Daphnia pulex: one gene and its partner. The protein of the gene in region 2 binds, or shares a complex with, the protein of the main gene of each other region. Links are inferred from orthologs where the notes say so. Each region holds a gene or a part of one and is shown on either strand. Other genes may lie near its edges. The genes, in order: P2X purinoceptor 4-like and AP-2 complex subunit mu.

Region 1 (4,522 bases), on a different chromosome or scaffold from region 2:
TGATTGCTCATCTCGCTGTGCCGTCGACAGGAAATGCAGCCACTTTACGCACATCGCCGGCCTAAAAGGTGGGACCTGCATGTTGAAAGAAGCACCTGGTTCTGGTGGAAGTTGGGCTTCTGCAATTCCGTCTCCATCGCCCTATATGTGCGGTTACATTCCTAGACGTGCCTTGGTTAATTTCTTCCTTAACATCTGTCTTGGAAAGGATATAACCGGCGGTCGCCGTTGAAACAAGCGAGTCTTGAGCCTTCATCAACTTACTATTAACAGAAGAAATTCCAAACGAACATCTGGATTACATTAGTAAACAATTAAATTTTTCTTTTGTTTAATGTATGACGAATGAAAATTGTTTCAGTTATTTTGTCTAATAAATTTGGAAATCAAGTTCTTTAAGTGAAGGTAAGCAGCTCAATCCGTCAATCTTCCAGTATTAAATATACAATACAACACACGGAACTAAGACCCAGTTCAGGAAAAGTCAAACTTCGCACTGCAGGAAAACATGTTAGGATTATGAAACAATTTAGTTTAAAAGATTATATTAGTATCCTGTGTATGTTTTAAAAATATGGTTCATATTAGAATTCAGCTAAAAATAACATGAATTTCTGACTAGATCCCTTAAAAGAATAGTAACTTCTGTTTAAAGTATGTGAAAATTATTCGGAATGTAAAATAGGTAAGGCATATTATTTCAATTGCTCCCATAAGTTGTCATTCCCGCTTCCGTTTGAAGTGGTGCTCTCTAAGTTAAGTAAAGCGAAGAAGTCAAGAAGAAAATCAGATTTGTTAAATTTAGAAAACAAAAAAACAGAGCTTTTTATTTACCTCTGGATCTTCGCCGTCAACCAGCAAGTATTTTACTCCTTTGTAAAACATGCGCTTTTTGGTAAAATATAAAATGATGAAGTCGCAAACCACAGTTGTCTGTATGAATAATGCTGTGTTATAAAGCCACTTTACATTTAAAAATTAAAAAATTGTTACCACTCCAAGAAGGGCTAGTCCAGATCCAATATTCAACATAGTTGGAAGAATGTTAAATTTCCTACCCTGACCTCGGACCTCAATAACGAAGCGAATACCGTAAGATTTGACTAGCGTTCGCCGGTTCTCTTCGTGATAATTGGCGTGTCTTATTTTAAATAAAGAAAAAGGTTGTCAGTTTAAATATGAACACAAAAGAGAGTAAACTTCGTTTTGCTGTTGTTGGTATCTCGAATATTCTGAAATTATTAAAAATTGTTTCACATATCTTACCTAAAATTCCAGCCAGGAGCGATGTTGGTATTTGGATCATCAGCTCTTCTGAAACTGTAAATAGGTTTGCAAAATTCAAGAAAATCTAAATCAAGATTGCAATTCCAGTCGATGGAGATGACGATAACTCCCCCGCGGATTGCTAGTTGTGTAAAATTTTCTCCCGCAAACGAGACTATATCTTCTATTCGGAACACAGGGCAGAAGGGATCTCTTTCTTGATTATAATGACAAGACTGGAGATAGGTTTTGTTAGCATCTTCCATGATGTTTCGTCGACGAAATGTTTTCCCAAACTTGTTGTAAAAATAATTGTAATTGTCAGAATAAACAAAAGACGTACGTATGCAACAAATATAACATACCGTTGGAAATTCGATGAAGTTTTTAATCAAAACTGTAAAATCGGCAGTTTCTTCAAGCAATGGACGATCTGTTCCCCTGTAAGGAATGAATAAAATTAAAAATCAAACATATAAACTGATTCACAAACATTTGAATGTTTGCATACAAAGGAAAAATATCTTGTTCAATAGGACACCAGGCAAATATTTCACAGACGTTAACACTTGAGTTAGCATCACTTGGAATGCAACGCCCAGTCATGGCTCCATTTCCGATCGGCAAAGATTGCCCCCTTATGCAATTCTGTGGTGAATCGCATAATGCTCCATACACATCTGGGTCCTGTAAATACACAATTTTTTTAAATAAAATATACACAAGTTTAAGATAAAGCATTGAGCACCTCACTGCAGGCTCCCCTAGTTTGATTTGGTGTAATGATAATATTCGTTGTGATGAAAAATGCGTCATTTTCGGATGGAGGTATAATCAAGTCAGAAGTATCCCAAATTCTTCTGTAGATGTCAGGAATGTTTTTGTTGGTATTCGTGAATGCAACACCTTTTACTTTCGTTACAACTGCACTTTCAACATTAGCAAACTCTTGGTAACCTTTATTGTAAACCATAACATATCTGTAATGGGGAAAATAGTACAATTTTAATGGATTGCTGGAATTAGAATTTTTACAAAAGTAAGCTTTACCCGACAATGTATGAAAGGACACACAGCTGCAGAAATCTTCCCAGTATTCCAACCTTTTTACTTCGAATATGTACTACTTTTGGTGTTTCATACCAAAATAGAAAATTAGAAAATGGTTTGAAACAGCCCATTCTGCAAAAATTACAAATGTTTACTGATCGAGTGGGATATAAATCAAACTTTGAATGCAGGTCATTGAAACTGTTGCAACTTTGGAATTTACAATCTTATGTATTAAAAAGGCATGAATTTCGGCTAGAAACTCTGTATACCAATAATGGCACGTTTTACTACTGTGAGATTTAATGGAAATGTCAACTCATGTCAAAAGTAAGAAGCAAGAACTGAACTTTAGTCAAATGTGAATGTAAAAACATGAAGATGTGCTTGGCGAACACGGAAATGAACTATCTAATCTATAATTTGTACAATTTTCAGTTGCAAAATATAATCTGCCAATAGATATCAAATTTTGAATAAACTGAGTGAGATGACACTCACAGTCTGACACTGACTGAATTTCGTCTGTATTTAAAATTGGATTATACTAACGCTGTTGCCAAGTTTTACTTCAATGGGATACAGGTTTTCCATTAGGTTTTTTAGCAAAAACATCAAATGTTCTCAAACATTTAGGATTTATTATTTTGTAGAAAGAATAAAAAAAAAAAATTATTACACATTACATGATGGTACATTTAGTACTGGCTCGCGGACGATTCGGTACCTGAAACGAATTCAATAACCCGGCCTCCCGGGAAACACCAGGATGTAACCACAGTGGTCTTTATCTGATGTAATGATAAAAATACTTTGTACAAAATTCTATAAAATACTTATAGTGTTTTTCTATGATGAAATATATGTGTTAAAAGAACACAATTACGATTTTGAATAAATTAAACAGTTAAAGCAATGATAAAAGTTGCATTATCCGAAAAACTGTCGCAAAAAGTACTTGCAATCACTAATTCTGCGACCTGAGCTTATATAACTGTTCCGTTACAGTTGTAACTTTAAATTTTTCATGATTTTAAATTGATTCGTCCATCTATTTTTTACGAAACTATGAATCGATTGAGAACTGCTGAAAATGTCGAAGAAGCCAATACTACTCAAGATTTTGACGAAAACGAAGATGAAAACGATACAGACGATGAGACTCAGCCTTCGACCTCCGGTAACAGAACCCAGGACCCAGTACCTGGCGTAGTGGTTCTAACTCTAATTTTAATTGTTTATGCCGGTTTGATGATGATCACTGGAGTCATGGTCTACTCTGCGTACGGAAATGAAAAAATTGCAATCGAAGGATTTACTCCAAGTAATAGTGCAATCAACGTCGCTGTAATAACCGGCATTTGCCCCGTCGACAACATCTGTCCGTTTGACTGCATCAAAGATCCAGACGCTTGCATCCCTCAGTCAAAGCCACCGTGCACACCTCAAGTCTGGCCGTCTAGAACCGATTGCTGGGATTCCACTGCAACCAATTGTCCAAACGGTGGATGTGCGCCGCCGGAATGTCCAATGACCACAACAACTGAACCGTCTATCCAAGCCTTCCGAAGCGCCTTTTACGAAAATCAAAGAGTGGTCGACTTGATCAATCTTTATCCGCCGCATTCACCCAACCGACTGGAAGTCGTCACAACTTTGCTGTACAAGACGGTCGAGCAATTTGCCATGTTAGGGCATTTCCATCGATGCGGAAGTTCACTCAATGGCAGGCCATTGCACACGACAATCTGTTCATTCTGCAACGACCGCTATGAGTACATTAGGTGCGCAATGTCAAACAACTTGGTGGGTCAGCTTTATCCAGATGAGCCGCCATCCGCCAATCACCTCGTTCCCATTTTCTGGGAAACGGAACTGAGTAAAATGCACGATGATTTGGTGACCAATGTGTACAAGACGTGCTGGCCAAGAAACATGGATTACATATTCGATCGCATTGAAAAGATGATACGACCGTTTGCCCTCAAGACGGCTGCGGGCGACGAGTGCCGCGTCTGCAAAGATTTCAGTAGGGCCATTTTCGATCGATGCTACACCAAGGATACGCGCTACACCTAAAAACGTTGAGTCTTCTCGATGAGTAACTTGGTTGCAAAACTCATCTTGGGATCCATGTTGAATGTATTAACTGTCAAAAACATCGTCCTTAATTCAATAAACAAAAAAAGTTACTGCAAAACACTTT
Region 2 (4,493 bases):
GGATGTGGAAAAATGGATTTCATTTCCAAATTTCGTCGTTCAAAACGCTTTTGTTCCACAGCCTGCTCGAAAAAGTATGTCATTAACCCATTTATCTTTTGACTCTTTTAATTTTAACCGTGTTTGTTTACTTTTGAAATAGGTCTAACATAAATGCTTCGCCAGCAGTTGGACCCGTTCAGCCGAATCAACAGCAGCAGCAGCAGCAGGAAACTGTCTCGACAACGACTTGTGTCAACGGTCAGGGAGTAAAAGCAGCCGTTGGCGGTGGTGGTGGGCTACTGACCACTGCGACGTCAACCACTCACTCACCCGCTGCTGCTTCAACAACAGCCGAAGCCAACAACAAATTGGCTTCTCCAACGGCCGTGACAATTCCTCAGGGCCCAACTCCTCCAACGAGCTTTGCTCCCTCTGGAGATAAAGAAGATATCAGCTTGGATGCAGAGTTGTGTGCTCTGGCTGCTCAGCAATTGCGTTCTCCCACAGCCTCACTATCTCAAACACCAACTCACCAGCTCAAACCTGAGCCGAAAACTAATCCAGCCAAGTGGAGTGTAAGTTATTTATTGTTACGACTTAGATTGCACTGATAATTAAGACTTCTATTCATTCAGGTTACCGAGGTCGCGGATTTCGTGCGAAGTTTAACTGGATGTGCAGATTATGCCGAAGATTTCGCATTGCAGGAAATTGATGGCCAAGCGCTCATGTTATTGAAAGCCGATCATTTGATGTCTGCCATGTCGATGAAACTTGGGCCGGCATTGAAGATTTGCGCCAAGATTGATGCTATGCGTGGTGCATCCTCCTCTGAGGGCGGTAATAGCAATCCACAAAACGGAAATTAATGTGGGAAAAGTTCAATCCCCCATTTTTGTGTTGTTCTCCACCAGAAATCGATACGTGTTATGTTTGCCTCATTCAACTGTAATTTGACTCATTGTACTTTTCTGTCTATAGTTTGTTTATGGTTCACGATATGTTTCTTCGTCATTTCTCTCTACGTATTTTGCTTTGGTTATTCACCTTCATTACAGTAATTCTCATTTCGTATGACACATAGATCGTCAGTGAACAAATATATATATATAGATCATTCATACAAAATGTAATGCTCGGTGTAACAAAAGGCATTTAGGACAAAAATGCCATATAACCGCATATAACATTTTCGGAACGAAGAATTTTCGTTTTCAGTGTAATAAATTGACATTGTAATAATAATTTAAATATACATAAAAATCCATTGAATCAAACGTATTTCGTATTATTTTTAATGGTATATTTTTAAAAAATGCTTGAATCAGTCGAATTCTTGAAAATGATTTTAACCTTGAAAGTTCTACTTCCACCCGAGTATTTCAAATGTGGCGCTCCGAGCGCTTTACGGACTTCAGCTGTTTGGCCTGTGATATGGATTGACTTTCTTTCTTGTTAGCACTGTGTTACTGTCATTTCACTCTGACAGTACAAGTCTGCTATCAAACCAAATTGAATACTTATCCACAGTGGGAGAAATTGGGCTGGTAACAGTTACTTTGAGGTAAGAGGTTATGTTTTTTTCGTTGGTGTGGTTTTGAATTATGATGTTTAAAGCGACACAAGACCGTGATCTTCAGGAACGGTGGTTGTGTGTTGGGTAATGCGAAAGTTTATTGGTAGGCGTTGCTCGATATATCAGCTAGTCTACCGGTATTGAGACGGGATATCCTGTGAAGGCAATCAAAAGAACTCGTGCATGCATGGCAAAAAGATAATTCAACATTTCAACAAAAAGTTGCATAGCTTCATTTGCATACTCTAGTTCACAGAGCAAACCATCTACCAAAGAGTTCTTATGGACTTGTATACATGCTAAATGTCATTCTGCACGTTTGAAAAAAAAGTGTTATTTTCTTCATTCATAGGTTTATCACAAAGCTTCAAGAGTCAAGATGATTGGAGGCCTTTTCATCTACAATCACAAAGGAGAGGTCCTAATATCACGTGTGTACCGTGATGACATTGGCAGAAATGCAGTTGATGCTTTCCGAGTAAATGTCATCCATGCTAGGCAGCAAGTCAGATCACCTGTTACAAACATTGCCAGAACCTCCTTCTTCCATGTTAAGGTATTTTCTGATTTGCCATTTTGAAATGTTTTAATGTTCTCAGGATCAATAATCCTTTACCTTTTTTTAGCGTGCTAATATTTGGGTGGCAGCTGTCACCAAACAAAATGTCAATGCCTCTATGGTTTTCGAGTTTCTCTTGAAGGTCACTGACTGCATGCAGTCATACTTTGGTAAGGTATCAGAGGAAAACATCAAGAACAATTTTGTCCTCATTTACGAACTTTTGGATGGTATGTTGGGAAGCAAACACAATTTATTTGTTTGTGTGTTGTTCCTTATCCAATTTATTCATTCTATCAGAGATTCTTGATTTTGGCTATCCCCAAAATACCGACACGGGAGTGTTGAAGACGTTTATTACTCAGCAAGGTATTCGCACGCAAACCAAAGAAGAGCAGGCCCAGATTACCTCTCAGGTATAGATTCGCTCAAACAATTAATGCTCAATGATTGTTTTTAAAATATAATCATGTGGTTATGATTTCCAGGTGACAGGCCAAATCGGCTGGCGACGCGAAGGCATCAAGTACCGGCGAAACGAACTCTTCCTTGACGTATTGGAATACGTCAACCTTCTAATGTCGCCGCAGGGTCAAGTACTTTCAGCTCACGTGGCTGGCAAAGTAGTGATGAAATCCTACTTGTCAGGCATGCCCGAATGCAAGTTTGGAATCAACGATAAGATTATCATGGAGGCTAAGGGTAAACCTACTGCGGATGAATCCGCTGCTCGCACTGGCAAGACAGCTATTGTGATTGACGACTGTCAATTTCACCAGTGTGTCAAGTTGTCTAAATTCGAAACGGAGCATTCGATTAGCTTTATTCCCCCTGACGGAGAGTTTGAACTCATGAGGTTAGTCTGTTCTCCTTTGGTATATACATTGAATTTATGCTAACAAGTGTTATTTTCGATTGCAGGTACCGAACGACCAAGGACATTTCGTTACCTTTCCGAGTTATACCGTTGGTGCGCGAAGTGGGCCGGACAAAGATGGAAGTCAAAGTGGTTGTCAAGTCTAACTTCAAACCTTCGCTCCTGGCACAGAAAATCGAGATACGCATTCCAACGCCTCTCAATACATCGGGCGTTCAACTTTTGTGCATGAAAGGCAAAGCCAAGTACAAAGCTTCTGAGAACGCCATCGTTTGGAAGTCAGTTGCAAACTTTTCTTTAGATCAAACATTAGAGCTGTGTTGTTAAACTTGTGTGGTGTTGATGTTGACAGGATCAAACGGATGGGAGGTATGAAGGAATCACAACTTTCAGCTGAAATTGAGCTTTTGCAAACGGACACGAAAAAGAAGTGGACTCGACCCCCCATTTCCATGAACTTTGAGGTATTTTCGAGGATGATGTGTGTCGTGCATATCGATTGCTCTAATTTGGATTTCTATCATAGGTTCCGTTTGCACCATCGGGCTTTAAAGTTCGATATTTGAAAGTCTTTGAACCCAAGTTGAACTATTCTGATCACGACGTCATCAAATGGGTTCGCTACATCGGACGCAGCGGCCTCTACGAAACGCGTTGCTGAAGAAACGGACGATTCATTTTCGTTGGAAGATGAAGAAACTCGTCTCCAATTCTATTTCTCCTCTTCATGATTAACCCATCACTTACTACTCGTCCGAAAGAAGAAAAAAAAAGAAGAAAGATCTTTGTTAGTCTGTCTTATACTTAGGTCGATGTCGTTGTTGCATCTGCTGAGCGGTGCGAGAGAGTGGATGAATCCTGCTAATGGGAAAAGTAGCTCTGTCTGTTAAGTTTCTTTCATCCAGGATCAAAATTCTGTTTAGTTTAATATTCAAAAGCTTGTACTTCTCTCATCTACTTCTTTTCTCTTCCTTTTATTTTTTTTCATCCGTGTTGAGTGTTGAGTACGTCGTCGGAATTATTTTTCCTTCCCATCTATATCATTGTTAGTGCGCAGAGAGCGAAATTAACCCCCTTCTCCCCCTACCCCCAAAAAAAGAAAAAAAATATCCACAGAATAGTCGTCTTGACTGGATTGCGTTGTTACTGCTTGGATTAGCAGTTCGCGTTCTCTCTCTCTCTTTTTCTCTCTCTGTTTGTGCGCGTGATTTATATGTTACATGTTTTGATTTACCCAGTTTTTTTTTGTGTCTGTGCACATTACATTAGGGATGAGTAACTGAGCCTCCACCGTGGCTGTCACTTGAGTTGCTTGTTTTCTATCCTCTTCGTTTGTGAAGGGTGAGCCAGAAGCGAAATGTTGGTAGGGAAAAAAGGGAGAGCTAGAGACAGTCGGCGGGCAAGAAGTTGTTAACCCAAAAAGATATGAGCGTGATGCCATGTCGGACCCCATGTCCATGTTACCCATAAATGGTGACGAATCGAGATCTGCCTGATAT

The links.
Region 1: the proteins of AP-2 complex subunit mu (region 2) and P2X purinoceptor 4-like are in contact, whole or in part, in a crystal structure (PDB 2BP5), measured with the Rattus norvegicus proteins. The link is inferred for Daphnia pulex from reciprocal best matches to the Homo sapiens genes AP2M1 and P2RX4. Residues at the interface, in NP_446289.1 of Rattus norvegicus: Phe174, Leu175, Asp176, Lys203, Asn217, Leu316, Ala317, Gln318, Lys319, Glu391, Val392, Pro393, Lys400, Val401, Arg402, Tyr403, Leu404, Ile419, Lys420, Trp421, Val422, Arg423, Tyr424, Ile425; in NP_113782.2 of Rattus norvegicus: Val375, Glu376, Asp377, Tyr378, Glu379, Gln380, Gly381, Leu382, Ser383, Gly384.

What each region holds. Positions count from the first base shown.
Region 1 is NC_060017.1:6,888,896-6,893,417, reverse strand, and holds P2X purinoceptor 4-like, read right to left. Parts: upstream 2,841-4,522; 5' UTR 2,818-2,840; intron 2,449-2,817; 5' UTR 2,448-2,448; coding exon 2,317-2,447; intron 2,247-2,316; coding exon 2,015-2,246; intron 1,954-2,014; coding exon 1,778-1,953; intron 1,708-1,777; coding exon 1,632-1,707; intron 1,563-1,631; coding exon 1,267-1,562; intron 1,142-1,266; coding exon 994-1,141; intron 934-993; coding exon 835-933; intron 752-834; coding exon 701-751; 3' UTR 529-700; downstream 1-528. Other genes in the region: uncharacterized protein LOC124196542, read left to right, coding at 1-232. UniProt on the Homo sapiens protein: ATP-gated nonselective transmembrane cation channel permeable to potassium, sodium and calcium. CTP, but not GTP or UTP, functions as a weak affinity agonist for P2RX4.
Region 2 is NC_060028.1:9,468,285-9,472,777, reverse strand, and holds AP-2 complex subunit mu, read left to right. Parts: upstream 1-1,387; 5' UTR 1,388-1,546; intron 1,547-1,910; 5' UTR 1,911-1,937; coding exon 1,938-2,114; intron 2,115-2,184; coding exon 2,185-2,347; intron 2,348-2,417; coding exon 2,418-2,533; intron 2,534-2,605; coding exon 2,606-2,973; intron 2,974-3,038; coding exon 3,039-3,272; intron 3,273-3,346; coding exon 3,347-3,458; intron 3,459-3,520; coding exon 3,521-3,655; 3' UTR 3,656-4,277; downstream 4,278-4,493. Other genes in the region: polyhomeotic-proximal chromatin protein-like, read left to right, coding at 1-74, 143-557, 618-851.